Caenorhabditis elegans: one gene and its partners. The protein of the gene in region 2 purifies or fractionates together with the protein of the main gene of each other region. This does not show direct contact. Each region holds a gene or a part of one and is shown on either strand. Other genes may lie near its edges. The genes, in order: drh-3, gtsf-1, pir-1 and eri-3.

The links.
Region 1: the proteins of gtsf-1 (region 2) and drh-3 purify together in Caenorhabditis elegans (affinity purification with mass spectrometry, with the first as the bait; one study listed by BioGRID). This does not show direct contact.
Region 3: the proteins of gtsf-1 (region 2) and pir-1 purify together in Caenorhabditis elegans (affinity purification with mass spectrometry, with the first as the bait; one study listed by BioGRID). This does not show direct contact.
Region 4: the proteins of gtsf-1 (region 2) and eri-3 purify together in Caenorhabditis elegans (affinity purification with mass spectrometry, with the first as the bait; one study listed by BioGRID). This does not show direct contact.

Annotation. Positions count from the first base shown.
Region 1 is NC_003279.8:7,817,655-7,828,302, reverse strand, and holds drh-3 (Helicase ATP-binding domain-containing protein), read right to left. Parts: upstream 7,473-10,648; 5' UTR 7,461-7,472; coding exon 7,363-7,460; intron 7,304-7,362; coding exon 7,130-7,303; intron 6,877-7,129; coding exon 6,801-6,876; intron 6,754-6,800; coding exon 6,672-6,753; intron 6,627-6,671; coding exon 6,102-6,626; intron 5,915-6,101; coding exon 5,789-5,914; intron 5,743-5,788; coding exon 5,561-5,742; intron 5,480-5,560; coding exon 5,298-5,479; intron 5,101-5,297; coding exon 4,775-5,100; intron 4,339-4,774; coding exon 4,058-4,338; intron 4,015-4,057; coding exon 3,106-4,014; intron 2,667-3,105; coding exon 2,566-2,666; intron 2,510-2,565; coding exon 2,371-2,509; intron 2,324-2,370; coding exon 2,217-2,323; intron 2,115-2,216; coding exon 2,063-2,114; 3' UTR 1,925-2,062; downstream 1-1,924. Other genes in the region: glna-3 (Putative glutaminase 3), read left to right, coding at 173-453, 781-1,027, 1,450-1,812; D2005.7 (NAM-associated domain-containing protein), read right to left, coding at 8,066-8,130, 8,272-8,484, 8,535-8,724; D2005.4 (TPR_REGION domain-containing protein), read right to left, coding at 9,098-9,103, 9,163-9,831, 9,882-9,973, 10,021-10,240, 10,293-10,375, 10,421-10,648.
Region 2 is NC_003282.8:16,862,192-16,868,140, reverse strand, and holds gtsf-1 (CHHC U11-48K-type domain-containing protein), read right to left. Parts: upstream 2,302-5,949; coding exon 2,218-2,301; intron 2,169-2,217; coding exon 2,083-2,168; intron 2,021-2,082; coding exon 1,681-2,020; 3' UTR 1,637-1,680; downstream 1-1,636. Other genes in the region: T06A10.107 (uncharacterized protein), read right to left, coding at 334-618; ING family member lsy-13, read right to left, coding at 2,816-3,013, 3,072-3,398, 4,048-4,266; mel-46 (ATP-dependent RNA helicase), read left to right, coding at 4,703-4,883, 4,933-5,113, 5,310-5,365, 5,421-5,559, 5,625-5,749.
Region 3 is NC_003280.10:9,174,125-9,180,747, forward strand, and holds pir-1 (RNA/RNP complex-1-interacting phosphatase homolog), read left to right. Parts: upstream 1-3,213; 5' UTR 3,214-3,259; coding exon 3,260-3,342; intron 3,343-3,538; coding exon 3,539-3,781; intron 3,782-3,824; exon of another isoform or gene 3,825-3,831; coding exon 3,832-3,929; intron 3,930-3,984; coding exon 3,985-4,095; intron 4,096-4,142; coding exon 4,143-4,309; 3' UTR 4,310-4,509; downstream 4,510-6,623. Other genes in the region: sec-5 (Exocyst complex component 2), read right to left, coding at 326-449, 495-833, 882-979, 1,043-1,337, 1,384-1,799, 1,858-2,092, 2,145-2,340, 2,385-2,753 and 2 more; RNA-binding protein sym-2, read right to left, coding at 4,759-4,944, 4,995-5,462, 6,386-6,623. UniProt on the Caenorhabditis elegans protein: RNA polyphosphatase which has RNA 5'-triphosphatase and diphosphatase activities. Displays poor protein-tyrosine phosphatase activity. Binds to 5'-triphosphorylated RNAs (also called ppp-RNAs).
Region 4 is NC_003280.10:1,121,721-1,128,291, forward strand, and holds eri-3 (Reverse transcriptase domain-containing protein), read left to right. Parts: upstream 1-1,813; 5' UTR 1,814-1,815; coding exon 1,816-1,921; intron 1,922-1,966; coding exon 1,967-2,040; intron 2,041-2,214; coding exon 2,215-2,386; intron 2,387-2,557; coding exon 2,558-2,739; intron 2,740-3,319; coding exon 3,320-3,664; intron 3,665-3,986; coding exon 3,987-4,153; intron 4,154-4,602; coding exon 4,603-4,683; intron 4,684-4,732; coding exon 4,733-4,908; intron 4,909-5,030; coding exon 5,031-5,264; intron 5,265-5,663; coding exon 5,664-5,752; intron 5,753-5,905; coding exon 5,906-6,016; 3' UTR 6,017-6,071; downstream 6,072-6,571. Other genes in the region: sut-1 (SUppressor of Tau pathology), read right to left, coding at 1-85, 948-1,146, 1,244-1,328, 1,379-1,452, 1,513-1,533; taf-6.1 (Transcription initiation factor TFIID subunit 6), read left to right, coding at 6,272-6,424.

The DNA of each region.
Region 1 (10,648 bases), on a different chromosome or scaffold from region 2:
GTTCTACCAACTTAGGCTCAAAGCTCAATATCTTTACAGTTTCAAAATAAATCCTAGGTTCAAATTTAATTTAGGAACCTCAAAAACAGAATGAAAAATCAAAATAGAAAACCAATGCTTCCTGAAAAAGTGTCTTCGTACATAACCGTTTATATTTTTACTGGATTTTCAGATGATCCACGCATGCCGAAAATTCGTTGGCAGTGGCTACATTGGATTTGATAATTCTGTTTTCTTGTCCGAACGGGAAACAGCTGATCGAAACTACGCATTATCGTACTACATGAGAGAACACAAAGTTTTTCCAAAAGATTTAAATTTACAAGACACTCTTGATCTCTATTTTCAAATTTGTTCTATTGAAACAAACTGTGATTCATTGGCTGTGATGGCTGCAACATTGGCAAATGGAGGTGTCAATCCGATGAATGGAGAACGAATTGTGAATAATCGGTTGGTTTGATACAATTCCTGATATTATTTCGTATCCATGAAAACATTAGGTAGGTAGGCATAAAGTTAGGCAGGTTTAAGGAAGGTACAAATGCCTGTAGGTACACGGTAGACATGAGGTCTGCATTTTTTGCGTTTGAGACCATCTTCCCTTCTAGGCACAGCCGTGGCAGATTAGGCCTGCCTTGTAGGTAAGCAGGCGATTTTGTGCCTGCTTGAAAGATCTAGTTTCTACTTTAACTTATTGATAAATTTACAAGTATTGAAACTTTAGTTTATTGCTGGAAGATCTACTTTTTTGTTTCATTAAACTATCATGTTCTTCAGTGCTTGCCGTGATACTCTCTCATTGATGTACTCTTGTGGAATGTACGATTGGTCGGGGCAGTTCGCTTTCCACGTAGGTCTTCCAGCCAAATCAGGAGTATCTGGAGATATGATTATTGTGATTCCGAATGTGATGGGTATTGCCTTGTACAGTCCACGACTTGATAAACTTGGAAACACGGTTCGAGGTGTCAAGTTTGCAGAACAGCTCGTACAAAAGTATAACTTCCATAATTATGATAGTCTGGTAAGTTATCTCAAAATAGAAAATTCTAAAGTTAATTTATTTGAGTTTTCTTTCGAAATATCTTATGGTGGGGGCGCAGAGAGAATCTCCTTTAGAAATCGACCTGGAAACGCGCTCCATGGCAAAATGAAAATGCTCCGCCCCCGAACCATGGGTCTCGTTAGGTATTTGGCGGCAAAACCGTATGCAACATTTATTTAGTTTTGCCGATTTTGTCAAATTTTTTAATTTGTTGTAGAATTTTTATTTTTTTATTCCGCCAAATTCCTAACGAGACCCATTGCTCGGGGGCGGAATGTTTTCAATTGTCCGTGGATCGCCTTTCCACGTAGATTACCAAACGAACTTTTCTCTGCATCCCGAATAATATATTTGGTTAAAAATTAGCATTTTCTACTTAAACCATAATAATCCCAATTCAGATCTACTCGGATAATAAGAAAATCGATCCTCGTCGTCAATTGAAAGATGATCATGACGGTCAGAATCGTTTCATGTATGCTACAAAATTGGGTGATATTGCTGCAATTAAACGATTCCTTTTGATGGGACATGATATTCATTGCAAAGATTATGATGATCGAACAGTTTTACACGTGGCTGCTGCTGAAGGAGACGTTGTCACATTGGAATACGTATTGAGTAAATGGCAAGAGGATCCGAATCCATGTGATAGATATGATAGAACTCCATTGGATGATGCTAAACATTTTAATCATACTGCTTGTGTTAAGCTGCTAGAAGAGGCAATTACGGTTTACAATCTTAAAGGACAAGATGATTAGGAATAGATGTTCTAGAAATTGATTTAAATTAATAAATCATTCCATTTTTTGTCATTTGTTAATTTACAGTCAAATTGTTGGAAGAAAAATTGAAAGATCAATTAAAAAAATAAAACTAAATAGAGCTTTATATTATTCAAGAGATCGAATGAAAATTGCTCGGTAAATAGAACACGATGAATGATATTAAAATAACAAAAAAGATTAAGAAAAATTGAATTCTCGTACAAGTTGGAAATCCTTGAGATGATCATTGAGCTTCTGGTGCAACTCCCTTCGTTGGTGGTTCTTGTTGAATATGGCTGAAAATGAAAGCATTATTATGATAATAGAGAGTTTATCCGTATTTTTTGAGCTTCGAAAGTGTTAAACAGAAAAGGAATCACAATCCAGAGCACACTTACAATCTCTTCATCTCGAGTTGCTTATTGTGTTGTCGTGAGTCCAAATCAAGAACAATCTTCTTTTCGATATTTTCTTCAGTATCGGAGAGCGCATTCAACATGATTCTCTGTAAATTCGTACAATTTTTAAATAATCAAGTGACCAAAATCTTACAAAGTCATCCTCGATTGCTTCTGAAATATAAAACAGATCCTGTTCCACATCCGACCATTTTGCTTTTGTCATCGAGGAATAGTCTGATTCTTGAACAAATGTCAACGCCTTGACACTGAGTTGCGGCAAATAGGTTCCTCTGTAGAAATGTTGTTTTATAAGAAACGACTTTTAAATAAATTAAATTTCAATTACCTTATTTTGTAAGCTCTTCCAACATCCAACTTGCAATGGAAGCATTTGATATCACTGAGTGGTTGATTGTCCTCACTCAAGTACTTACTCACCTTTCGCTTCTGAAAAAATTCAATTTTTCACAATCACAAATTGCGTTTCTATGATAAACAGAAGTCGGCTTAGCTGAAAAAAACATTTACTTGAAACATCTGGAAATTGCACAAAAATAGCCTGAAAGTCAATTGTCGGAAAGCAAAGTTCGGAAATTCAGCAATTTGATAATCGGCAATTCGACACTTCCAGGTAATTTTTAAGCACTTTATAAATGTTTCAACCTGAATAAGTTAATTTCAGATGAATAAAGCGATTTTTTTACTTTAAAACGATTTTTTAGTGACAGAAATTTTTTTAATTGTCTTTTTTTTTGAGAAATTTTAGGTTTCGGTTTTTTGGGAAAATGGTTTTACAGCCCTGGTCTACGAGTATAATCTTACAAAATTCATTAAAATTATATTTTCGACAAGCCGGCTCCGGTTTTTGAGCATTCATCAAACGTACCGATTCAACATGCAAAAATCTCCATACACTTGGATCGAACACCATGTAATTCGAGAACACTTTTTTGATATAAATACTCTTGCAGAACTCTTTTGAACAATTGCTGCACATCAATTTATAAATCTTATTCTCATGTCGTAATCTCAAATTGAGTTGCTCTTCCAGATTTCGTTTCCTTTCAGCCGCATTTAGTTCAGCGACTCGTTTCACTTCTGCAGCCAATTGTTTCTCGCCATTCTCTGTGATCTTCTTCACACAAAGTCTCATATACTTTTCAGAGATTAACGCGTTAGTCTCGGTTTCATTGATACTACTCTTCACTGATAAAAGCACAGAACGAGAGTTTTTGGCACGTGCACGACCTCTTTGTTGAACAAGTTGAATGGCTGATCCTGATGAACAGTTGTACTTGATAATAAGATTACATGCAGTAACATCGAGACCTTCTTCAACAACTGACGTTGCCACAATTACTTTAAGTCTTCCATTGTTGAATTTATCAAGTGTCAATTGTTGTTCTTGTGAAGTCTGCTGTACAGCGCCCTGTTTGTTTGTTCCGAGAACATATCCAACCATTTGTTCACCATAATTACCAAATTGATCTAAAACTTTAGATTCGTTCAAGAAATCACTGACACGTTGAGCGGTGCTTCTTTGTGTTACGAAAATAATAACTCGAGATTCAGGAGCCACGTGGAACTGATTGGTGAGTGTATTCTTGAGACGTAGAACAATTTCTGGTTCAACGGATTGAATTGTTTGTTTCAAAGTATCATGGTCTTTGATGAAGGTGCTGTATTCGACTGTCTCTGAATGACTTTCATTCAATTTCCCAATAGCTTTTTCCATGTATTTGAATGCAACCATCGCAGGCATCAGATCAACGATTCCGCGAGCTTCGAGATATACCTAAATCATTTCATTTACAAGAATCTTTGAAAATGAATCAAACCTTCATGTATTTCGCCCAAGTTTGAGAATTCCATTTCTCAGGAACATTCAATTTGTTCAACTCTTGAATAATACCTTGAAGTAATGAATCGTAGTACTCATAATTCTTCGGTTGATTCTTTTTAAACGTGTTAATCATATTCGGTGGGATAGTGTTGTTGCGGCCAGTTGATTTAGACATGCTTGCTAATTCTTCGAGAAATTTGCCATGGGCGTGGTTAAGGTATCGTTCGATGTAATCTCGAAGGATATTTTCTTTGGCAGGCAAGCATAGTTCGACAGCTGAGAAGAATTTTTTTGAAATAATTCTCTCATGAAATTTCATATTCCGAAGAGAAAACAAGTAATTGGTTATTTTTGGAATAGAGTAAATGAGGAATTTACTTTGAAATTGCCGGATTAGCTTGAAGTTAAACAATACCATGAGAAATAAGGGAAAACAAAGGAAATTTCAATACCGTGGTTTTGATTCTAAAGTGGGTTTTCAGCTTCCGAAGGTTTTTTTTTTCAATTCCTGTTTACAACACTTCATTTAGAAACCATTTTTCATTTTACAAGAACAATTTACAATTTTCAAATTTTTTTGAACTGTGTAAACTTGAAAATAAATATTTTTATAATTTGATACACCTAGAAATTTATCTTATTTGTATTTTAAAATTTATTTATGGTTTTTAAGAAAAAAAAAACTAAATTTCCAACTTGAGAACAAACTTACAATCATCTGGTTTTCCAACATGCTCATTGAGCTCATCTATGCTCGATTGGCGAGTGATTGTACTCAAATGTGGAGCGTTGATCAATGCGAGCATATTATAAATATCATTAAGCATCTGATTCTCGTCTTTTTGTCCATCAACTTTGACACTCAATGAAGCTGTCAGACCAATGATTTGTGGTTTTTCATACTTCCATTCTTGAACCATTTGATTAATCAACACATATGGATGATTTTTTGCAGCTTTATGTACTTCATCGAAGATCATCATTGAGAAATCACTCACATACAAACGCTCATTTTGACGTACCGATTGAAGCATGTTGCTGAAATAATTAGTTCGGGTATTATAAAAACCAGAGCTCGATCCGAAAAAATTAAACATTTTATATATCTTGATTAAAATTGCACTCTTTTTATAATTTATAATTTTTTTTGAAAAAAAAAAGTAAAATAAAAAATTAATGAGTTATATCAGAAATTTTCGATTCAGAATTTAATGAACCTGATTCCATTAACTCACATCAGAATTTGAGGAGTCATAACTGATACATGAGTAGCAATTACTTCATCACGACGTCCTGTTCCACTGACACTGCTCTCGGATCCATGAAAACCATTAACTTCGTACATTCCGTTACAATACTTCAGGAATCTGTCTTTTTGTTGACCGACAAGCGGGATTTTCGGCACAAGGAGCACAACCTGGAAAATAAAATTTTATTGCTTCTATATCAAGGGGAAATAATATTAGAACTTGACGAGAAAATTAAAAAAAAAACATACTCTGGAAGGCTTTCCTTGGGATGTTCGTTCTTCAATATGTTTGAGAGCCGCATAAATTGCCACTTCTGTTTTACCAGAACCAGTCGGAGCAACAATAACACAATTCTTTCCTTCGAGAGCCGGTTGGACAAGTTCTTCTTGATAAGTACGCAATACAAGTTCAGTAACCACCGCATCTGGATCTGGAAAAAGGAAAATTTGCACTAAATGTTGGAAATATAATCTTACTGTAGCCGCTGTCTTTCGGTTGTGGACGTATTGTCGTGCAAACATCCTCGCCGACAGCTTCCTCGTTAGTCCGCTGACTTTTCAGTAGGGTAAGGCGGATACGGTCACGTTCTTTCTCTCGTTCTTCTGAAAATTGATTTAGTTAAGCCTAGATTGTAAATCGAAATTCGTAAAATACATCAAATAGCATGAGATGGCCGAATAATAAAAAGTTAGGCATTATTTAAAATTGTATTAAAATAATTTCAGTATTTTGAAATCTGAAGTACAAAATGTTTGCCGCTATTTAATTTCCAAACAAAAAAAAACTTACCAAGCTCTTCTGGCCAGTTCTTATCCAAAAAGTAGAGAGCCGCTCGATTAGCTGGATCATTCTTCATTGCATCAATAAATCCGTAATACCACTCTTCGTGTTCATTTTTCTCTTTTTTGTCATTCGATTTGAATCCGATGATTGCGAGAAACATGGTGAGAGTCTTATGAAGACTCCATTTCTTCACAGCATATTTTTTCTCTTCTCCATTCTCGATTTTCAGCTCGAACGCTGGTCCTTCGGTTAGCAAATCTTCGACCAAATCAGTTGATAGTTGATGATTACCTTTGTTAAATACTTCAAAAGCGAGAATTGTAGTTTCACTAACACAACGTGGATTCGATTTCAGATGCTTCATAATAATCATTCCACGTGCAGCTCCAGCCACTCTATCAAGCTTCTGATATCCAAATGGATTATTGGTAACTTCCTCTTCATCGTAGAATTTATTTTTGAAAGTCTCAGCAGTTAACCAGCCATCAGGAAGATCTTCCCAGTGTGAGTATCCATAAAGTTCTTTATCGTCTGAATTTTACAGTTCAAAACGTTTGAAATTTCACGATTACTTACAGTTAAACATCACTTCGTCAGCAATTCTGAGTCCCTTCTCATCGAACAAAACAGTGTTCAAAAAACATTCCGAGAATCTTCTCTGAAATAAAAATTATTTTATTAAATGTTTTTCAAAAGTGTTTTTACCCTTTGAACTTTCTGCTGATGTGCGTGACGCAATGTAACGTATGTTTCTGCCTGTTTTCTGATTTTAACGTCGAGACTGAAAAATTGGTATTTAAAAAAAATATGGCACGAAAATTCCAGACACCATAATACTTTTTTTTGACCTTTTAAGCTTCTGTGACTCGAAAACTCACGATATTTAAACTTTTTATAAAAATTTAAGTCATTAAAACAATTTTATGTTTTCAAAACTCCGTTTCGACATCCTTGCCGTCACAGATATAGATAACACCGAAGAAATTGTTTTCGTTGGAACGTTTTTCTAATACATGATTTCTCTGTCGTCTTACTCGGCATTTCTGATTTTAATCATGTCCGGGTCATGAGAAACTGGAGTTGGCTCGTCAATGATCATTCTGGCAATTTCTTCCAATTTTCCTGGCGGGAACAGCGATTCAAATAGTTTGAAATATCCGATATCGTTGTTTCGTGTACTCTCCACGCATACATCAAGGAATTTCCATCTAAAATAATATTTAATTATTTGATCGAGTGCAAGGGGGGAAATGTATAATTTTCTTACTTGAGAAGACGAAAATACGCTGGAAAATATGGAGACTCAAACGGAAGGCGAAGCTTCGATTTGTCGTAATCTTCTAAACGTATTGCAGTTGGTTGCATTATCGAAAATATCTGTAGGAAATTATTAAATTAAATTTTGCCGACAAAACGACAAAAAGACATGTTGTTCAAACTGGCGCACAAAATATAAACAAGTGTGGCAGAGGTTTTCACATTAATGATTTTCTCTTCCTCTTGCCAATGATAAAAAGTTAAGAGGGAAATACATGAATGAACAGAAAACCATTATTAGTGTTAAAGAAGGGCAAGTAGTGTCAGGAAGGGAAGTTTTGGTTTCAGTATTCAATATTTAACGATGAGCAACGGCGGAATCAATAAAATTAGTATTTAAATTCTACAACATAAATAAATGTTTTGGCTCTTCAACCTTGTGAGAAAATAAAATCATAATATTTAAAACAAGAATAAAACTTTCATTAAAACTGCAAATTCACGGGAACCGGTGATGGAAATACGAGCAGCTGCCAACAGAAAATGAAGAAAAGAAAAGGAAATTTGAAAGATAGAACAGAAAATAAAATTCTTTCGGCAGGTTGTTGGGATGAATTTCAGCTGATGAATGGCAAATTAATACGAATAACTGGATGAAAAGAAAACATCGAAAATAACATTTTACAACGTTAAAACGAATCGTTGATGCACTTTTAAGCGTCTGGCTTTAGAAGTTCAGCGGAGTTCCTGGCAGCTTCAGCAGCACGGTCGGCGCGTTCTGAAAGAAAATAAGAGAAATGCTTTTTTTCGATATTTAATAAATTATCCATATGAAAAATTGTTAAATTCTTTCTTTACTCAAAAATCGAGTTTTAAGCGGTTTTTTGTAGGATTAATTTTCTAGCCATGAATAAAATACCTTTTTTCACAAAACGCTGCCTTTCGATCTCAATGCGCCATTCGAGAGGAAGTCGAAACCATTCTTCCACAGGATGTTGAGCAGTGAATGCTTCATCGGAGAGAGGATCATCTGGATCCACGTCCACATAGATACTTTTCGACGTCTCTTTCATATTGTCCAATGTAGAGTTTGAACAACTTAGTGATGGATTTTTAGAAATATTTTTATTTTCTGAAATTGCGAAGGTTGTTAAACTTGTCAACTTTTCTTGTAAAACGAACTTTTAGAGGCTAAGTATTTTTGGAGGAACTCTTTTGGCAACCGTTGGAAAATGTAATTCGGGTAGAACTTGGCGAAATTTCCTGTGTTCTCGTACTCCTTCAAGCACTCCTCTACGGTCATTGTTGGCTGAGAATAATGCTGAGAATGATTCTTTCGGGACCCACTTGATTTATTTTTTTTGTTGCCCATCTGGAAGATGAATATCAGCATAAAATAGGACACGGGTAGGGCTGCAAAACCTCGGTAAAGTTAACGTGTTAAACAATAAAAAGTAATACTAATATGAAAAGTGTCATAACATGTAGTGCATATTTCTGGTTAAAACCAATATTGGATAACAATAAAAACCTATAGAACAAAACTTTAAAGCGTTTATTAGAAAACACGAACAACGATACTATAGCTCTATAGAGAAAATTTTAAAGGGAAATGAAATAATCTTAACAAAAAAAAAAAGAAAAAAAGTTCGTCACTTGAGCATTTTCAAAATTTTTGAATAAAACTGTTGAACTCATCACGATGATGAATGCATTTGTGATATGTTACAAGTATTGCACGAAGATTACATCTGGAAAATAAACTCAGTTATTGGAATTATTTAACGGCATTTCTAAAAAAATAAATTACCTTGTTCGAGTAGCCGTGTTTTTCGCGTAGCCGATAAATTTCATTGATTACTGGCTCATTCAAAAGAGCCCACTTATCGTCCGGGTAGAAGCCGTACAAACAGTTCTTGCCACATTGTGCTAAGGGTTTCAGTGGGATTTTCTCGTTATCGCATGATACTCCGTCAATTGACTCGTCCTCTTCTTTCCGTTCAACTTTCACATTGTCGGGGTCTTCAGCCTCCACCGGCTCATCGTTGATCACAGAATCGGAACAATTACCAGCAGTTTCTGAATCCATATGATCTTTCGAAGTTTTTACACAGTCTCCGGTTGATTCTTCTTTCAACACTTCTTCAGAGATTACAGAGCTGGCAACGACCTGTGAAGCTTTCTCCTGGTCTTCATTATTTGCATCATCTGTGCTAGTCGCATTTTCTTGAACGATATCCGGTTCAGCAGCCACTGCATCTACTGCGATCACTCCTTCTTTTGCATCGGAAGACGCTTTTGTGGTTACTTCTTCCGATTCTTCACACTTTTCCGCGTCTCCAGGAAGTACTTCTGGGCTCTTCTCAGGTACCTTGCTATCTTCTTTTGACTGCTTTGTGTCTTCCTTCAGCTCTTCCTTATCAATTTTTTTGTGTGATGTCAAAAATTTGATCTTAATTGTGAAATGTCTGAGGAGATTCTGAAATTTCGAATGAGGTTTTTTCTATAAAGTCATATTCGATCCCAAACCTTCTTCCAATTCTCATCTATCGGCATCTCGGCGGCGTACTTTTTCATTGCTTCATAGAGCTGTGTACGAACTACTTCTTGTGGAATGTGATCTGAATACAAATAAAAAACTCACTAATAAAGAAAAATCAAGATTCACCTGAAACCGTTTTCTCGATGACATCGAGATTACAGTAGTTTGGCCACGCGGTTGGAAGTTTTGCCAAGTGCAAATAGCTTGTCACATCGGATGGATCTTTTTTCTCCTCGTTCCAAATGTCTGCAGATGACCATGGCAACTGAGCGATTGTGGTCGAGAATTTGAGAATATCGAAACGATGAGAAAGGAAAAAGATGGAAAACCAATGATGGCCCATATTCTGAAAATCGGCAATTGTTCTCATGTTTTTTTAAAATTAATATTAAACATACCGCCCATTTATCAACAATTTTCTTCTCGTCAATCACAATACCGTTTTCCTTTCTGAGAGTTTCCACGAGATTCAGAAAGTAATCTGAAATGAAAATTTTGAATTGAATTTTAAGTTTTGATTGCTAACCAATAAATTGATACAATTTCTCGGAATATGTGGAGTCTGGAATGTTATACTTGGAAAGAACGAGAACAATGAGATCTTCAAAAAACTCGTTTGGCAATTTCATCCTTTTCATTTGTGGGCGAGCAAGAAATTTGAGCACATCAACAGCCATCGTCTGATACTTTTTAGCGTCCACACATCTCATGGCAAATCGCAAAGTTGGTTCCAGTGAAATGATGTGTTCGCCCG
Region 2 (5,949 bases):
TCTCCTGACAAAATGTGATCTACTAACTAAAGCGCCGATGATATTATTGGCTAACCATTTTCTAGGCGTGACTTGCGGTCTTGTAACATAATTAGACAGATTTACGGTGCGTTGCGTGTCGCGTCGCGGCTCGGTTTTAGTTGTAAAACTAAATGTATTTGTCCGTGTGGAGTACACGACACTTTCCCCCACGAGTTAACCGCCAGGCGATTGTCAATGGAGCGCGAAAAATTCAATGAGGAAGACCAGAACCCTGTGAATTAGGCAAAAAACACTTTATTCAAATGGGAAAGAATCGATTTTTGACTATTTCTTCTCTGCACACATCTCTTTTCAAACAATCATTGGTTGTACACCGGTGGTCATCTGTGCTCCTTCAGTTGTAGTTTGTGCTCCGATCGGTTGACCGACAGGTTGCGGGTTCCGCATTCCATTATTCGAGTATTGATTGTTCTTATTCCGGCTCCTCATGAAAAAGTAGATCCCTGCACCGATTCCAGCCGAGGACAATATGCAACAGCAAATGCAGGCGAGAACGACGATTATGATGATTGTTGGGTCGCCTTTTGTAGAAGAAGAAGAGTAGGATGAACCATTGGAAAAATAGTCACGAGTCATCACGAAGCGATATTTGGGAGAAAATGATTGGAATTTTGAGAAATCAGTGATTTTATAAAGGAATTTTTGCGAAGAGGGGTCAGGGTTCACGCGAATTCTTACTTTTCAGCTGTTTTTGAACTGTGTAGGGGCTTTTTTTTAGGCCACGGGCTTCCAGGATCCCAGAGCTTTGGCAAGAGAGCTGGGAACCTGGGCCGCGGCCATGACCGCGACGCAGCTGCCAGCGGAACGGCTCAATCAGAAAAGGTTGTTCTTCGCCTAGAACTCGGGATTCACGTTTTCTCGCGGACGAGAAAACTTGAGAAATGTGAGAAAATGGCCTAGAAAATCCTGGAAGAGGAGAATTCCTCGTCCACAGCCAAAATAGCGTGTGAAAGAAGAGACGCAGACGACAAAACGGTTATTCTTTGCGTTTTTCACGTCCAGAGAAAAAAGTAGTATCTGCGTCTCTCACGCCCAATGGATAGCGAGAGTTGGCGCCAACGTGAATTCTGAATGAGGCGCGTTTGCTTCAAAATTATGCAAAAAGGACAGCCAGCGACCACGTGGGGATTGTTTATAATTTTCATGGGTTTCTGACTTTTTTTAAAGTTTAACTTTTCTATAGAATTTACGTTATAGAAAAGTTAAAAGTTATAGTTATAGATGATGTCCCGACGCCTCCCGGGTGCTTTTCCGATTTTCGCGCCAAAAAATTCAATTTTTATCGGCTTTTTCCAGTTTTTCACGGGGTTCTGGCCTTCCTCTCATTGAATTTTTCGCGCTCCATTGACAATCGCCTGTCGGACAACGCGTGGGAAAGTCGTGTACTCCACATGGACACTAAAACCGAGCCGCGACGCGACACGCAACGCGCCGTAAATCTACCCCAGATATTGCCGAGCCAAAATGGCCTAGTTCGGCAAACTCTTCCATTTCAATTTATGAGGGAAGCCAGAAATCCGTGGTTTTTTGGTGGCTTTTTCAAAATTCGTTTCGAGACCCGGTACCATAGTTTTAGCACAAAAATTGAAAAAAAAATGCTTCTCTCATTTTACTTGTTCCACTTTTTTAAAAATAAAATCACAAAATTAAATTATCATTCTTCATTTCCAAGTAAGCAAGCCGATTGATCGTCTCGAGCATCATCTCCACCTCTTCCACATCCGATTTCTCGATTTCCGACGTCACCGACAGATTCTTCTCCTCCTCGTCTTCATCCGAGTCATCTGATCCATCTAGCGACTCCTCGTCCTTCTCGTACTCTTTCCGAAGCTTCTGTGCCGCCAGGTGCTCCGCCACGTTCAGCTCCAGCGGCTCCAGTGACAATTGGCGTCGAAGATCGGCGGATTGACGTTTGCAGAAGATCTCGTGGAATTGGAGCTCTTCTTCGGGAAGGAAGTGACGCATGTTGTAGGAGCATCTAAAAAAAATAATGATAATTATTATAGAAAAATTGGAAAATTAATTGAGCAAAAAAAAAACCTCTTCAATTTCAACGAATGCGGGTAAAAATGCAATTTTTCCGTGCGACACTTCCACAAGTGCGTGTTGAACTCCTCCATTGACACCTGAAATATAAAATTTTTAATTTTAAATTAAAAATATATCAATTCCAACCTTGTGATCCGAATTGTAAGGGCATGTTATCGAAAATCGATCATTTTTTGAAGTCCCAGGGGCCTCCGATTCTCCCGACGCCATCTAAAATTTCGAAAAATCAATAAATTCGATGAAAAATTGGATAAAATCGCCAAAAAAATTGGATGAAATCGAGGAAAAATTCTTGGGCGGGGCTTCGTAAATCTACACGCAATTGTGCCGCACGGGGTTTTGCAAGGAGTGGGCATGGAAAAAAGCCTTGACCGCGACGCATCGGCGTGCGGAGCGGCTCGAAAAAATGTATTTATTTCAGCGATTTCACCGAAAAAATTGAAAATCCAGCAATTTTAAAGGAAAAACCCAACAAAAATCCAAGTTTAATCAATAAATCGTTAATTTTCAGTTCAAAATCTGAATAAAATTCATCAGAACCGTTGTGAGAGTCAGAAAAAATAATTTTTTAAACAGAAATTTATATGCAAACAAGTTTCAGTTTATCATAGAATAATAAAGCAAAATGGGAGATCAAACCAATACAATTTTGTGATCATCGGATGATTTTTTTTCAAATAAAATAGGTACACAAGCGGCAAATCAAAGAAAAAAAACCAATTATTCACTTCTTCTTCTTCAATCCCTTTCGTTGTGGAGCCTTCTGCGGAGCCTCTGCAACCGCCGCGAGACCCTGTGCACGGCACTCATTGGTGCAATACCAGTCGCCGGCTGGAGCAGTGATCATTCCGATGCATGTGAAGTGGAACCATCCGTACTTGCAGCCCGGATTCTCGCATTCGATCATTGTGTCGTTTTTATCCTGAAATTATCCCAATTTGGCGATATTAAGCGGCGGCGGAAGCTCACGGAGCCCTTACCAGTTGACACCAGCAGTACATTTTCGGTGGCTCGGCGGCGGCCACTGCTTTCTCGGATTCTGGCTTTTTCTTCCGACCGCGCTTCTTCTCATCCACCGACGACGGAGCATCATCATCTCCCTCGGAAAGCTTCTTCTTACGATGACTTCGCACTGACGGAGAACTGCTTGGCGGAGTTTCCGGTGCTTTTGGAATCTTATTCAGGTTTTCAATGAACTTTTGCTCTTCTTCCATGAATTTCCCGTAGACATCCTTCAGAAGAACCTTCAAACCGCTCGCAATCTCTATTTTTTGGTCGGAATATTCGGAAACTTTCGCCATTTTCTTCTGAAAATTGATAAATTCGCATTTTTTAGGTGAAAAAATCATAAAAATTTGGATTTATAGGTGAAAAATCACAAAAATTGCGATTTTTAGGTGAAAAAATCATGAAAATTGTGATTTCTAGCTGAAAAATTATAAAAACTGGAATTTTTAGGGGAAAAAGCATAAAAATTGGGTTTTTTAGGTGAGAAAATCATAAAAATTTGGATTTTTAGATAAAAAAATCACAAAAATTGCGATTTTTAAGTGAAAAAATCATAAAAATTTGTATTTTTAGGTGAAAAAATCACAAAAATTGTGATTTCTAGCTGAAAAATTATAAAAATTGGAATTTTTAGATGAAAAAATAATAAAAATTGCGATTTTTAGGTGAAAAAATCACAAACATTGCGATTTTTAGGTGAAAAATCATAAAAATTTGGATTTTTAGGTGAAAAAAATTATAAAAATTGGGTTTTTTAGGTGAAAAAATCAAAAAAATTTCGATTTTTCGCCTAAAAATCGCGATTTTTATGATATTTTCACCTAAAAATCCAAATTTTTATAATTTTTTCATCTAAAAACCGCGATTTTCATGATTTTTTCACCTATAAACCGCAATTTTCAAACTTTCGCCATTTTCTTCTGAAAATTGTTAAATTAGGAGCTAAACCTGCATAAAAGTGAACGCTTTGGTCTTTTGTTCGGCCGTCATTTCCTCATAATTCGCAAAAAATTCGATTTTGTGCTTTTTAGCAACTTCCATCTCCTTCTTCGCAAGAATATCGAGCCGTTCAATCTCGACAATTGCTTTTTTCGCTTTTTCCGGAACTTCTCTATTGATTTTCGAGAAAACTTGGATCATATCGATGACGCAATCGTCGATTTCCATTTTTAAGCTGAAAAATGCAATTTTTGAGGAAAATCAGAGTTTTAATGGCATTTTTCGTTTCAAAATCCATTAAATTAACTTTTAATTTCATTTTTTTAAACAAAAAATGTGCTAAGAGTCATTAAATCAATAAAAAACCAAAGATTTCCCGCAAAAAACAATGACAAAAAAACAACAAAAAAGTGTGCGGCGCTATTGCGTTCGCTAAACTCCGCCCATAGAACCGCGCCCCGTTGCGAAATTTGCGAAATTAGATATTTTTCAGCGGTTTTTTTAATGAATTTTCCGTCCAAAAAATCGAGTTTCAACTGATTTTTTCGCGTTAAAAACCAAGAAAATTATTGATTTTTCCAATTTACTCGGTAAAAATCCCGAAAAAGCCATTAAAATCTGTAAAAGTACAGAAAAATACAGCAATTTTTAATTTTCAGAGCCAATGGAGTTCTCCGAGGTAATCGAGGTATTAGACCGCGGCAGCTCGATCGATGTCCAATCGAATTGCACGTTCGAGTCGCTGATGATCGGACAAAAGACGCTGGAACGTCTGAAAAATAGCCAATTCGACAGGCCGTCTCCAGTTCAGGCCCGGGCCATCCCAGTCGGCTTGCTGGGAAGAGGTCAGCCTATTTATAAGGGCCTGGGCCTTAAAAACTGCTATTTTTTCAGATATGCTTGTTCAGGCCAAGTCAGGAACCGGAAAAACGCTCGTTTTCTCGGTTTTAGCCGTAGAAAACCTGGATTCTCGATCTTCACACATCCAAAAAGTCATTGTGACTCCGACGAGAGAGATTTCTGTTCAAATTAAGGAAACTGTGCGGAAAGTCGCTCCGACCGGCGCTAGAACTTCGTAAGAAGACCCAGGAATCGTGAAAATCCCAATTTTTATGATATTTTCACCTAAAAATCGAAATTTTTATGACTTTTTCCCCTAAAAAACCCGAATTTTTGTGATTTTTCACCTAAAAATTCAAATTTTTATATTTTTTCACCTCAAAAATCCGAATTTTTATGATTTTTTCACCGAAAAACCGCAATTTTTTCAGAGTATACGTTGGAGGATCCGCTCACAAGCTGAATCTCATCGATTTGAAGCAAACGCGTGGGTTTTTAAGCCAAATTATCTGAAAATTCCGCATTTTTTCTCTATTTTTCAGGCCCACAAATCGTCATTGGAACTCCTGGTCGGATAGCACAGCTCGTCAAGCTCGGAGCAATGAACATGTCCCATGTGGACTTTTTTGTGCTCGATGAGGCGGATAAGCTGATGGATGAAGTGTTTAGAGATGATATAAAGTACGAAAAATCATAGTTTTTCCCCCCCCCCCCCCCCCCCCCCCGAAAAACCTCGGATTTTTCAGTATTATCATCAATTCTCTGCCTCAAATCCGCCAAGTTGCCGTGTTTTCAGCCACCTACCCGCGAAATCTTGACAATTTGTTGTCGACTTTTCTCCGCGACGCGGCACTTGTTCGGTTTAACGCTGGTACTGAAAACAACACATGTTTTTTATTGGAAAACACTGGAAAAATTGCATTTTCCGCGAAAAACTAGTTAATTTTAGCTTAAAAATTGGCTAAAATGATGAAATATCACGTTTTCTCGTTGAAAAAAATAATTTTTCGAGCCGCTCCGCACGCGTGGCTGCGTCGCGGTCATGGCCGCGGACGAAGTTTCCAGCCCTCA
Region 3 (6,623 bases), on a different chromosome or scaffold from region 2:
TTCGAAAATAAATTAATTTTAAAAATTGAGCCCGTAAATCGACTCAAGTGCTACAGTAGTCATTTGAAGAATTACTGTAGTTTTCGCTACGAGATATTTTGCGCGTCAACTATGTTGCTCAATACGAATTTTCAGAATTTTGTGTAAATAATACATAAAAAGAGTTCCATTACAGCCAAAATATTTAAAAAAAATTTAAAAATAATGTTTCAAACTAAAAAAAAACTTTGTTCACTTTTTTGTTGTATTTTCTAACTTTTTTGTTTTAAATTTCGAAAAAATAATCTGATTCAGCTCTGGTATCATCTGAAATCGTTGAACATACCATCATCATCTGGTAAGTACTCATAAGTTGCTGAAGCAATAAGAGGTTCAAATGCACTGCTCATCATCGCAATGCAATCATTGATCATTTTAGTTCGGAATGCGGAAAGTTTTGCTCGAGATTTCTGAAAATAAAAAAAAATTGTGAAGCATAAATTTTTCATTCTCACTTCTTGAATTTGATCAACATGTTTAACTCCACATTCTTGCATCTTTTTGCCAACATTATTCAGCGTTTTTGCAATGATAAATTCGATATCTCCAACGGCAATTAAAAGTTTTTTCGTCGTTATTTCATTATTTCCTTTCTTTTGTCCAGGTTCTTGAGCCAATTGTTGAGGTCTTTGTCGAATGAATAACCGATCGAAACATATTTTTATAGAAGTGATGAGATGTACGAATAGATCAATAATTGTGTCACGGAAACGTTCTCGAGAGAAAAGGCAAGCTTCTCCAGGATATCCAGAAATGGAAAGAGCATCACGAGTACGCGTAAGGCATTCGCAAATCTGCAATAATAGATAGATCTTAATAACTTCCGTTAAATGGAAAATAACCTCATTTTCATAATAATCAGGAAGAATTGTCTTTGTTTGTTGTGCTCTGTCAAGAATATCTTGCTTCCAGTTGATTCGGTGAGCAAGAAGAGCAACTCCTGAAATTTAAATATTTTATAAAATAATATTTATCATCTTTATTGTATAAAAGTTATACTCACTTTCCACTCCACAATCTACGAAATCGGAGAGCAACTTCAATCTGGCAGTCATACACAGTTCAACTAACGGTTGAACATGAGTAAGACTGAATTGATTTTCAAGCAGTGAAGAAATCAAAGATCTTGTAGTTTTTAGACTGAGTTGAAGATTTGAACGACTAATATCAGCAGGAACTGTGGGCCACTTTGCAAATTGATCTCCGTACTGCTTCAAGACCATATCAGGAAGAGCTTTGGGAACCAGGGCGTTCAGAATCAGCCACGATGAGACGTTTATGATGTTGGTCAGCATTTGCTGAAATTATTAAAATGTTTCAAAACTCTGCTTACAATACACTAACATTAATATCCTCCAATCGTTGAATGGCATCAGGAGAAGCCGTTGAGTTATGATATGTGTTGGCAAGTTTCCAAAATGAGGGAAGTTTGCTCAATAATAATTCAACCAGCGTTGTCACAAAGTTCTGTAGCTCATTGGTTTTCGTAATCAGGTGATTCTGCGAATTGATTCTCTGCTGATTTTCAAGATCCTCTAATTTAGCTTTTTCCAAAAATTGCGTCTGCATATCCCAGAGACTTTTCTCAAGCCAGACGTAATAAGAGGTTATACAATCCCAAGTAGGGTCTGATTCTGGATCCAGAATTTTTAGATATTTGATAAGTTTACTTTGTTCTTCATATGAGACTGGAGTATCGATAAGCTTTCGTTTCATTTCTTCCTTGAATACTTGCATTTTCTCATCGATCTCAGTCATCACTGTAAATCGATCAAATCATTTTTTTTATTTTTCAAAATTGAAAAATTAAATACGTACATTCTCTAAACAACGGAACATCTGTGTCTGCATACAACGATTTTGCTCTTGTATAATCATTGAGAATTGTAATATATTCACCCTTTTTCATACTGTCCTCAATTTTCGAAGAAAGGAAAAAGATGAACTTGAATCTGACAATGACTCCGAGAGCATTTCTAGTTGCGTCTGCATCATCTTTTCGTTTTAAGACATCGGCAAACACATTTTCTGCTTTCGATTTGGAGTCTTTGATCTGAAATTTAATTTTAATTAAGTTTATTTCATTTTTTTCATCAGCTATATACCAGTTTAGAAATGTTTTTTAAAGCGGCAAAATGATCAGCATTTTCTCCTTTTTCTAACGCTTGATGAAGATTTGCCAAAGTATCCACACAATTAATCAATGAATACAAGTTTGCTTTGTGCATTTCTTCACTTCTTTTCGCTTCATTTTGCTTTGATAATTCCATATTTTTAATAGCAATTCGTAGATCTTCGATTCTGAAATCCAAAAATTAATTAAAATTATTAAACAACTTTCTTACGTGGCGTCTGCATGATTCTCTAGAAGATACCATTGTGGAGAGAAATTTTCCATTCTTAAATTGCCAGAACAATCAGGAAAATCTCTTGAGAGAAGAACTTGATCCATTCGTTTCTGACTTGGAAGTAATCCAAGTGCATCTCTTTCATCTTGAATTTGTGGAACACTTCGAATTGCTTCTCTTCCTGGAACTGTTCTCGTTTCATCTACCCAGACTGCGGATTCTTCAAGTGGTCCGATTTGAGTAATGAAGACACGAAATTTGACATTCGAAGAGCCTTTTCCACCGGATTTTGTCGCTATTCGTACTTCACCGGGACCACGTGATGCTGCACCAACTCGGGCAATAATTTTTGATGGGGATTTCCATCTGAAAATTGAGCTTCGAGATGTAAATTAAAAGAATTCGAATACTCACTTCATACTCCACAAACTGTCGATTCCACATATAAAAAGCATAATCACATCACTCTGATCATTTCCCAAGTTTTCTCCTCTTATTGTTATTTGAGTTCCAGGGACTCCTGAAAAATTATGTTTATTTAAGACCGAAATCATATTTTCTAAATTCACCTTCAGTGGGCGATAGCCCTGTTACCGTAGGAGGTAGTCTTTCCCGAGCTTGAGCGTTTTCTTCCATTTACGCTTAAAAATTATTCAATTATAATCTGATTAACAACGTTAAAGTATCATAAAATTAAAATATTTTAAAATAAATTAAAAATAAATACATGAGCCACAGATTGTCCGAGTGGAGTACACACTGATTCAATAAACAAGGCGCTAAGCGGAATGCCGGAGCCTCGTTGCACAGCAATCGTTAATTTTTTAAATTTGAGCCACTCAATCTTAATCTCAATATTTTCAGTCAGTGTCATGTCTAATTACCATCATAATCACAATTATCAGCATCGCCCACGCGGATATGAAAGGCTTCCAGGAAAGAGACTCCCAGACAGGTTTTTTTACAGTTAATTCCATAATTAGTCCCAATAGTTCTTAATTGGAAATAAATCTCTTGAGAAAGTTTTTGATAATAATTGAAAAGGGTTTCTCTGTGTGTCAAATTTTTTAAAACTAAAAAAATTTAAAGTTTCATCACATACCTTTAAACTTGTTCTTTCAAAGTTTAAATATTATCGATTTTCTCTTCAGATGGAATATTTACGATAACGTCGGCCGTGATATCGATGGGACTCGATTTGTTCCATTCAAAACACCACTAGATTCATCATTCTTCGATGGGAAAAATATGCCTGTGGAGCTTCAATTTGGTGTAAAAACATTGATTTCTCTGGCACAACAGGCTAATAAACAAATTGGATTGGTTATCGATCTCACAAATACGGATAGATATTATAAAAAGACGGAATGGGCAGATCACGGAGTCAAGTATTTGTGAGTTGGAATTTTTTAACATTTAATTTAGAAAAATCGAAAGTTTATAGGAAACTCAATTGCCCCGGTCACGAGGTGAACGAACGAGAAGATCTTGTGCAAGACTTCATTAATGCTGTTAAGGAATTTGTGAACGATAAAGAAAACGGTAGATAATTTTTTTTGAACAAAATTAAAATTTTTTTATTCGATTACATTTGCAGATGGAAAACTGATTGGCGTACACTGCACTCATGGGCTCAACAGAACAGGATACCTTATTTGCCGGTATATGATTGACGTGGATAATTATAGTGCATCCGATGCGATTTCTAGTAAGTTTTGGATCCAATAACACATGTTTTATATAATTATTTTTCAGTGTTTGAATACTACCGTGGACATCCAATGGAGCGGGAACACTACAAAAAATCATTGTACGAAGCTGAAAGGAAGAAAAAATACGGAAAAAGCAGCGGAAAAAGCAGCGGAAACTCAGCCGATTCCACAATTTCGAGTGAACAGTTGCATCGAAATAATTCTCAATAACACCCAATACTGTTGTTTGTTCTTCTAATATTACTTGTCATTTAACTGTTACGTTCTGTAAATCCGAACAAAAATCGGGTAAACTTGTTATTATTTATTAATAGATTTCTTTCTGAGTACAACACATGGAAAATAATCACAGTTTTTTTTTGAATCACAACTTTTTCGCAGGAAATTACAATAAATTAGGGCGGAAAAGAGTCAACTTTTGGTCAAATCACAGAAATTGCGAACGTGAAGATGAATGGATGGATGTGGAGAGACGGTTGGAGTGAGAGAGAGAGACAGGTTTGGAAGTGATGAGACGCAGTAAATTATGCGACAAAAAATGAGGGCTCTAGGGCAAGAAATAACAGAATACTATGATGGGAGTGAACGGGAATTCAACGAGAAAAATTTAGGAAAACATGATTAAATGATAATTAATTATTCCGATAGCTTTACTCGATCTATTCCATCAAAATCGGTTGAAGTGGGAAGTTTTGTGGATGGTGAGAATAAGCAGCGAAGTTCGGAGCAGATAACTGAGAAATTTGTGATAATGGGCTCGTTTGAGGCGGTGGAGCACCACGATTGCGGAGCGTCAAAATGGCTTCTCCCGGACACAAATGAGTTGGCCAACGTGTGAATAGGACCTGGAATTGGTTTTTGTTTTAGCTTTATAAGAAACTTATGAGTAACTTACATTATCAACAGTATGTTCCGGTGTTGTGAAATTAGCCACCAGCTCAGGAACTCCGATGCTCATATGGATACCATAGATAATCAATTGGGTAACCTGCCCTGGCACAATTGGTGAAATTGGTGGAGATGGGTAACTTGACCAGAACTGTTGTGGTTGTGGTGCCTGTGGTGGCAGCTGCCCCATGAAACCCAATGGAGCCGGTGGTGGAACCTGATGTTGTTGACCAACCAGATGATGAAGGTTAAGCTCCTCAGCAGATGCTTGGAATACTTCGATGTATCTCTTCTTTTTGCCAACAGACATAAAGTTATTGTGAACTCCAGCAGCGCAGGCAGAAGCCGCTTGCTCATTGATCATTTGAATGAATGCTTCACCTGATGGATGACCTTGATTGTTGTATACCATATGAACACCTTGGAACTTTACCATTGTTGCAAAGTCACCAAGGAATGTGACGATATGTTGCACCTGGAAGAGCATTAACTTGTGTACTAGAAAATAAGTTTTATAAAAATTTCTCTGAACATATGTTCATTTAAAACCTGTCAGGTAGGTTTTTTCAGCGCAGAAAACAAAAAAAGTTTGGAAGAAAGAGTTGTCGCTGATCCCTGCCTACAATATGACTTCGCGCCTTCTGCCAAGTTACTATGAATGATACACTTAGAAATGCGAAAGTCTATACTATTGAGCACCAACGTTTAAACTTAAAAATGCAGAAAACAGGCAACAGTCAGGCAGGCAGGAAGGCGTACCTGCCTACTAGACTCACCTAAAAGTAGTGAACCTCTTTTTCTTACTTTTTGAGCTTATATCTCGGTCATGTTGGAGATATAGAAATCTTGATATTTTGATATTTTAATCTTTAGTTTTTTATCAAACAACTCCATACTCATATATGATAAAAGACCGTAAATTCCTAACTAACGCCCCACATTTCTCATCCCCCCACCTCTGCTCAACATTTGAATATTTGTCATCGGAACATATTCATCAGTAAGTACTTAAATACTCTTTTGTATTCTCACCTGTTGTAACTCACGGAGCTACAGCTTCATCATCATCAATCTATTTGACGGGGGCGGTTTATTTGCCTAAACTGCCTAAATTTACCATGAAACAATATCCATTCAAATTATACCGAAAAATGATAGAGCTTAGTGGTTAGCCCGACCAAACAGGTAAAAAATCAAAATTCTCATTTTAACAATCATGACTCGGCTTAAAAACCCCAAAATAAATTTATAGTGAAAATTAAAGAATGCCACCAGCCAGCACCAAAGTGTTTCCCATTCTATAATATTATCACAATTTTCTGGTCCCCTGACAACATAAATGTGATGTTCTCAACCTCCAGAACCCACGAAAAAACCCAAACCAATCACTTCACTTACAGTAGCTTCATAAGGCAATCCACGTAGGCGTACACAATCCTTCTTTTTCTCTTCCGGTGCTTCAACAGCATTTGCTACTGCTGGAGAGCTATTAATCAGATTGCATCTTTTCACAACTTGTTGAACTTCGGCCGCCGTGCTCTTGAAGAGCTCAATGTAGCGTTGTCCGATGACTTGGCGATGCTTCAGAAGACCCTGTTGGGCATCCTCTTCGGTTTCGAATTGAACAAATGCGTCG
Region 4 (6,571 bases), on a different chromosome or scaffold from region 2:
GGTGGTGCGGCGGCTGGAGCTCCCTGAGCTACACGTCCTACGGCTCCGAACATCACGTCTTGTGGCGGTGGTTGCTGGTGTTCTGCTGGTAAAAATTTGAATTTTTGAGTGTTTCAAGTGCGCTCTGATGCGAATTTTAGAGGGAAATTTGAATTTTTTGGCAATTTTGAATTTTTGAGTGTTTCAAGTGCGCTCTAATGCGAATTTTGGCGGTAAATTCGAATTTTTCCTAAAAATTGAATTTGTCGGTGTTGCAAATCAGCTCTAATGCGAATTTTAGCGAGAAATTCGAATTTTCTAGTGTCTAAAATGCGCTACAATACAAATTTTAACGGAAAATTCAAAATTTTTCTAAAGTTTTGAAATTTCAAGTGTTTCAAGTGCGCTCTAATGCGAATTTTGGTGAAAAATTCAAATTTTCACAAAATTTCGAATTTTCAAGTGTTTCAAGTGCGCTCCAATGCAAATTTCAAATAATAATTTAAATTTTCACAGAATTCTTGAATTTTCTAGTGTCTAAAGTGCGCTCTAATGCAAATTTTAGGCGGAAGTTTATATTTTAACAAAAGTTTGAATTTCCGAGTGATTCAAGTGCGCTCTAATGCTAATTTCAGCGGGAAATTCGATTTTTTCGTAAAAATTGAACTTTTCGGTGCTGCAAATGTGCTCTAGTGTGAATTGTAGCGGAAAACTGAGATTTTCGGTTCAAAATTCAACTTTTCATAAAATTTTGAAATATTGAATGTTCCAAGTGCGCTCCAATGCGAATTTTGGTGGAAAAATCAAATTTTTACAAAATTTTGAATTTCTCCGTGTTTCAAGGGCGCTCCAATGCAAATATCGGCGAAAAAGTCAAATTTTTACGGAATTTTGAATTTCGGCTGTTCCAAATGCGCTCTAATGCAAATTTCAGCGAAAAATTCAAATTTTCCGGTTAAAAACCGTACGTGGCGGTCTCTGCATCATCATATTCTGCATCATTTGTTGCTGCTGGAGCTGAGCTGCAGCAGCGGCTCTTTTCTGCATTTCCGTCTGCTCCATTCCTCTCAAATGATGTGCCATGTAGGCTTCTTGTGATTGTGCGTAGGCGGCCGCCGCCGCTTCTGCCTCCTTGTCAACTGCCGCCGCTTTTCGGTGCTTTTGTTGCTGAAAATTGAACATTTTAAAGTAAATTCAGCATTTTTGGGTCAAAAATTGTCTTTTTTCCAGATTTTTCTATAATTTTTAGGTTTTTTTTACGAACCTGTGACGTTCTCGCCTCCACTTCTTTCTCCCACTGCTCGAATTGCTGTACATACGAATTATAAGCCTCCGTGCCAATGGAACCCCTGAAAATCATCCAAATTTGCAATTTTTCCCCGAAACTCGAGTTTCCCACTTATTATTCTCCTTCCACTGCTCGAATTGAGCTCGATAGTCTGCGTATTGCTTCTGCAACTCTTCCTCTGATACCTGGAAATAGAGAAAAATCGATTTTCTGCGAAAAATCCTTGAAAAACGATAAAAACTCACTTTTTTCGAGGCTCCCGACATAATTATCTGAAATTTAAATAACTTTCTATAGATTTTATGAGAAAAAATGGAGAAAATCGACGGAAAACTGGCGAAAATCGATAAAAAACAATTTTTTTCAAAAAAATAAATGGTGGCCGAGGAGGGGTTTTCTAGGCCATTTTGACTTTAGACTCGGCCACCACGATTTTTTGAATTAATTTCGCTGATTTTTTCGCTATTTTTATTCATTTTCTCCCGTTTTTTCTGATTTTTTCTGTTAAAATCAATAAAAATTCCTAAAAATCCGATTTTTCTTCAGGTATGCAACCCGTTCTTGTAAATAGTCGACCATTACGGGTGAAATCGCACGAATCCGAGTCAAAACTCAATTTAATCGAGCAAGAAGACCAGTTTGAAGGCGCAAATTGTGAGTTTTTAGTGCCAAATTTGATTTTAAAGCTTGTAAATTCAGATTCAAGCTCGTCTGGTGTCATAATATGCTATTCGAATGGTACCGGAGAGGTTATTACGCAGGAGGCGTTTGATGTAAGGGAATTTCCAGGGAAAATCGATATTTGGAGTCCTAAAATATGCAAATTATTGATAAAAATCGCAAAAATTGCCTTAAAAACACGACGAAAAAACAGTTAAAAATCGAAAAAAAAACCATGATTTTCCAATTTTTTTTTTGCAAAAAATTTAAAAACTCGCAATTTTCAGGATTCCGGCATTCATTTTATCTTCTCAAAAGCCACGTGTATACAATATCCGTCAAATTTCGACCCAATCGGTGTGGGATCCGTCGTTCAGATCTTCTGGAGCCGGAGCTTCGAACGGGTGGTCCGCGGGAATCATATTATAGTGCAAATCGAGAAAATGGAGGTTTATAAGTGTAAGTTTGACCCGGAAATTCGAATTTCCCGCCAAAATTCACCCTGAAACACTTGCAAATTCGAAAATTCGGTGAAAATTCAAGTTTATAACCTAAAAATTTGAATTTCCCGCCGACCGGATGCTGCAAGCTCGCTCCACCGAACAAATCATGAGAAATTCAAATTTTCAGGTTGTGCAATGCTCCGCGAGCAGGTTTTCGTCACATTCAACTCCCCGTCGACTGCTGGCGTCGCAATTGGAGTCACCGAACGAAATATTACTGTAGCTTTCCATCCGAACTGCTCGCCTGTTATTCGCTACGAGACCTTAAAGGCGCATAGCATTGGACGCACCGAATTCGAGATTAAAGATGTACGGGAATTTGAATTTTCCAACGGAAAAAATGTGCTCTATTGAGAAAATTGCGAAAAAAACGGGGTTTTGCCTTTGAATTTTTAATTGAAAAAGTGAATTTTAAATAAATTATTGCCGAAAATTAGATTTTTCATTGAAAAATTTTTTTAAAAACAATTTTCTTCGAAGAAAAATTTAATTTTGGCTGAAAAACGTGCATTCTCCACTTAAAAAAACATTTCCCACCCACCGCGTGCTGCGAGTGCGCTCCAATGCAAATTTTGCATTAGCGCGCATTTGCAGCTTGCGGTCAGCGAGAAATTCGAATTTTTGGGTTGAAATTGATAGAATTTAACTCAAAAATTCAAATTTCCCGTCAGAATACTACTTTACACAGAATATCTCTACTCAAAATTCACTTTTTTCGTTCAAAATATCAGTTTTAAACCTGAAATTTCAAATTTCCCGCGGATCGCATGCTGCAGATGCGCTCCGATGCAAAATTTGCAATAGAGCGCATTTACAGCTTGCGGTCGGCGGGAAATTTGAATTTTTGGGCTAAAAAAGCGGATTTTCACCAAAAATTCAAATTTTCCAGAGACACCGAGAGAACACGAATCGAATGGTGGACGTTATCCTGGCGGCAGTACCATTCCGCGTCGAAATCCACGGAAACGTCGATAAAATCCCATTTTTCGTCATTGAAAAGTGCCGAAATTCGCCGGGCCGATCCGGCGCCGCTGTCATCACAAAAATTATGAAAAATCATTTTATGGAAGCGAATTTCCTGCAAAATTCCGAATCGATCTACTTTGATTCGACGTCTTGCCACTCGAATATTCTCGAAAAAGTCAGCATTGGCTCACTGATTAATGTGCTTGCCGACCCCACATTTGCCACGTCATCATACAAATGGTATGGCTATGACGTCACTCTGTGTAATGTTCGTTTTTTAGTGATTTTTTACCAATTTTTACGCAAAAAATTTGAGATTTTCGTGTTTTTTCCCGCGATTTTTACCTAAAAATTGGCACTTTAACTGAAAAAATCGAATTTTCGTGGCTTATGTGCTTCCACCTTAATTTGGGGGTCAAAAATACCGATTTTAATGGATTTTTGGTTATTTTTGAGCCAAAAATTCATTAAAAGCCGTATTTTCTACCCTTGGATTATTCGTAGAGCACATTTGCCACCGGAGATGCGGAAGCTATGCCCAAATTTTGAATTTTTCACTCAAAAACTTGCAAAAAATTTTTTTTTTCCAGAATTACCTCGCCCACGCCAGCACACAGAGAAGCTTTGTACTGGAAAATAATGAGATTCTGCAAAATTGTAAGAAGCTCGAAAAATCGCCGGAAGAAGCGGAAACCACTACGAAAAATGATTTGAGATTTGTGCCACCGCAGCCGGAAAAGGGAGAGGTTAAGAAAAAGTACGGAAATCTCGAAAATTTCAGCGAAAAATTTGAAATTCCGGCATTTTTGAGCAGGAAATCCGTTAAAAAACCCAAAAATTCAAATTTCCCGCAAATTTATCATTAGAGCGCACTTACACTCATAAAAATGCCGAAATTGTGTGGAAAATTGATTGAAATTTAAATTTCTCTCCTGCAAATGCGCCCCAATGCAAATTTCTTCAGATTTTTGCATCGGAGCGCATTTGCACCATTTTTCGAATATTTTTTTGTGGCTCCTGTGCTTCTACCCTAATCTGGGGGTAGAAAATACCGGTTTTAATGAATTTTTAGCAGAAAAATTTATTAAAATCCGTATTTTCTATCCCCGATTACTGGTAGATCACATTTGCCACCGGAGATGCGGAAGCTATGCCCAAATTTTCGTTTTCAGCTTTTTTACCCGGAAAAACGCAATTTTTTTGCAGAAAAATGACGAATTGCCTGAAATTCAACTCGAAAAGTGCTCAATTCAAGCTCCGACATCTCATCCTCGACAGATGCTTCAGGTAGATCAAAAATTCAAATTTTCAGCCAAAAAATATCGATTTTTTCCAGCGAATTACCGGAACGCGAGGCCAAATCGATTATCAACTCGTATTTTATCGATCGACTTGCCGAGGGCATAAAAATCGAGAAAATCGACAAAAATTGGAGGACATTTGGTGAAATTTTGCCGAAAACTCCAAAAAAGTACAGCGAATCGCTGAAAAAATCGATTCAAAACGTTTTGGGTAGGTTTAGATGTTGCAAATGCGCTCTAATGCGAAAATCGGCGAAAATTCGCATTGGAGCGCATTTGCAGCGTGCGATCCCCGCGAAATTTGAATTTTTCGTATAAAAATCCTGTTTTCAGAACCATTTGGCCTCAACAAACCGGAAAAAGCAGCGGAAACTCCAAAAATTGTGGAATATTTCCCGAAAAATCCGAAAAAACGTGTGGAAATCGTTGAAAAACCGACGGTCGACGAGATTCGCGAGCTCTTTGGAGCACTTATGGACGCGGAGGGTTTTGCGTTGAATCAACGTGTGAAGCCGCATTTCGTGCTACCCGATACTCGCTGGAAGCCCACAGAACGGAGATATATTGGTAAAAATTGGATTTTTCGCGAAAAAATGGCGTTTTTTGCATGTTTTAGCCGGTTAAAACATGAATTTTCGAAGGTTTTTTGCCTATTTTTCCCTAAAATGGAGCATTTTTCTGATTTGGGGGTACTGTAGCTACAGTAACCATCGGATTTTTCCCTAAAAAGTAAAAATTGTGGCTTCTGTTCTTTACGCCTAATCTGGGGTCGAAAACAAGTATTTTTTATGATTTTTTAAGCTAAAAAGCTTAAAATCCATTAAAATCCGTATTTTCCAGCCCTGGATTATCCGTAGAGCACATTTGCCACCGGAGATGCGGAAGCTATGCCCAAATTTTCATTTTTCCACCCAAAAACTTGGACTTTCAGTCAAATTTTCAATTTTAAGCCCTTTTTCCGTTCAGGAATCTACGACGACGTGCAATGGACGTTTATGAGCACATTTTGCCCGAAAATCGAGGAAAATTCCGAAAATCGACCGCTCGCCGGCGGGGTAATATGGATTTTTGTCGATTGGAGCGCATTTGCAGCTTGAAAATTGTATTTTTCAACAAAAAATTCAAATTTCCCGCCGACCGCGTGCTGCAAGTGCGCTACATTGAGAAAATAGCCAATTTTCCACCCAAAAATCGATTTTTTTTTTCAGTGGTGGTACCGGCGAACCGTCCCACGGGACCATCCCGTCGAAATTGTGCAGAAAATGGAAACTCGGCGGAATATTATCAAAGATTGTACAGAATCCCCGTTTATTGAATGAAAAACTAACTCGTGTGAATTTAAAAAAAAAATATAAATAGTTTTATCGATTTTTTTCTCATTTTTCTGATTTTTTATCGCCTTTTTCGGGTTTCCCACCCATAATTTACCTATTTTAAGAGGAAAATTTGAATTTCCCGACGATTTGGTGGTGCGATCGCGCTCCAATGATAAATTGGCATCGGGGCGCGATTGCGACATGCGGTCGACGGGAAAATGAATTTTAATCTGAAATTTCAGCTCCTCGCCACTTAAAATGTCAAAAACCGTAACAATACGGCGCCCATCGCCCACAAAAACCTCAGAAGAGCCCGCTGCTCACCAGACTCCGATTTTCACACAAACCGCCGCTGAAATGCTCGGAATTACCAGCTTGAACACAGAAGCCGCCGAATTATTGGAGTTTTTGGTAAAAAATCCGGGATTTTGTGGTTTTTTTTGCGATTTTTTAGCCAAAATTCCATTAAAACGCGGATTTTTCACCCTTACATTGCAGAAAAAAATTTTTTGAGTCAAAAATTCAAATTTCCCACCGATGAAGTGCTGTAAACGCGCT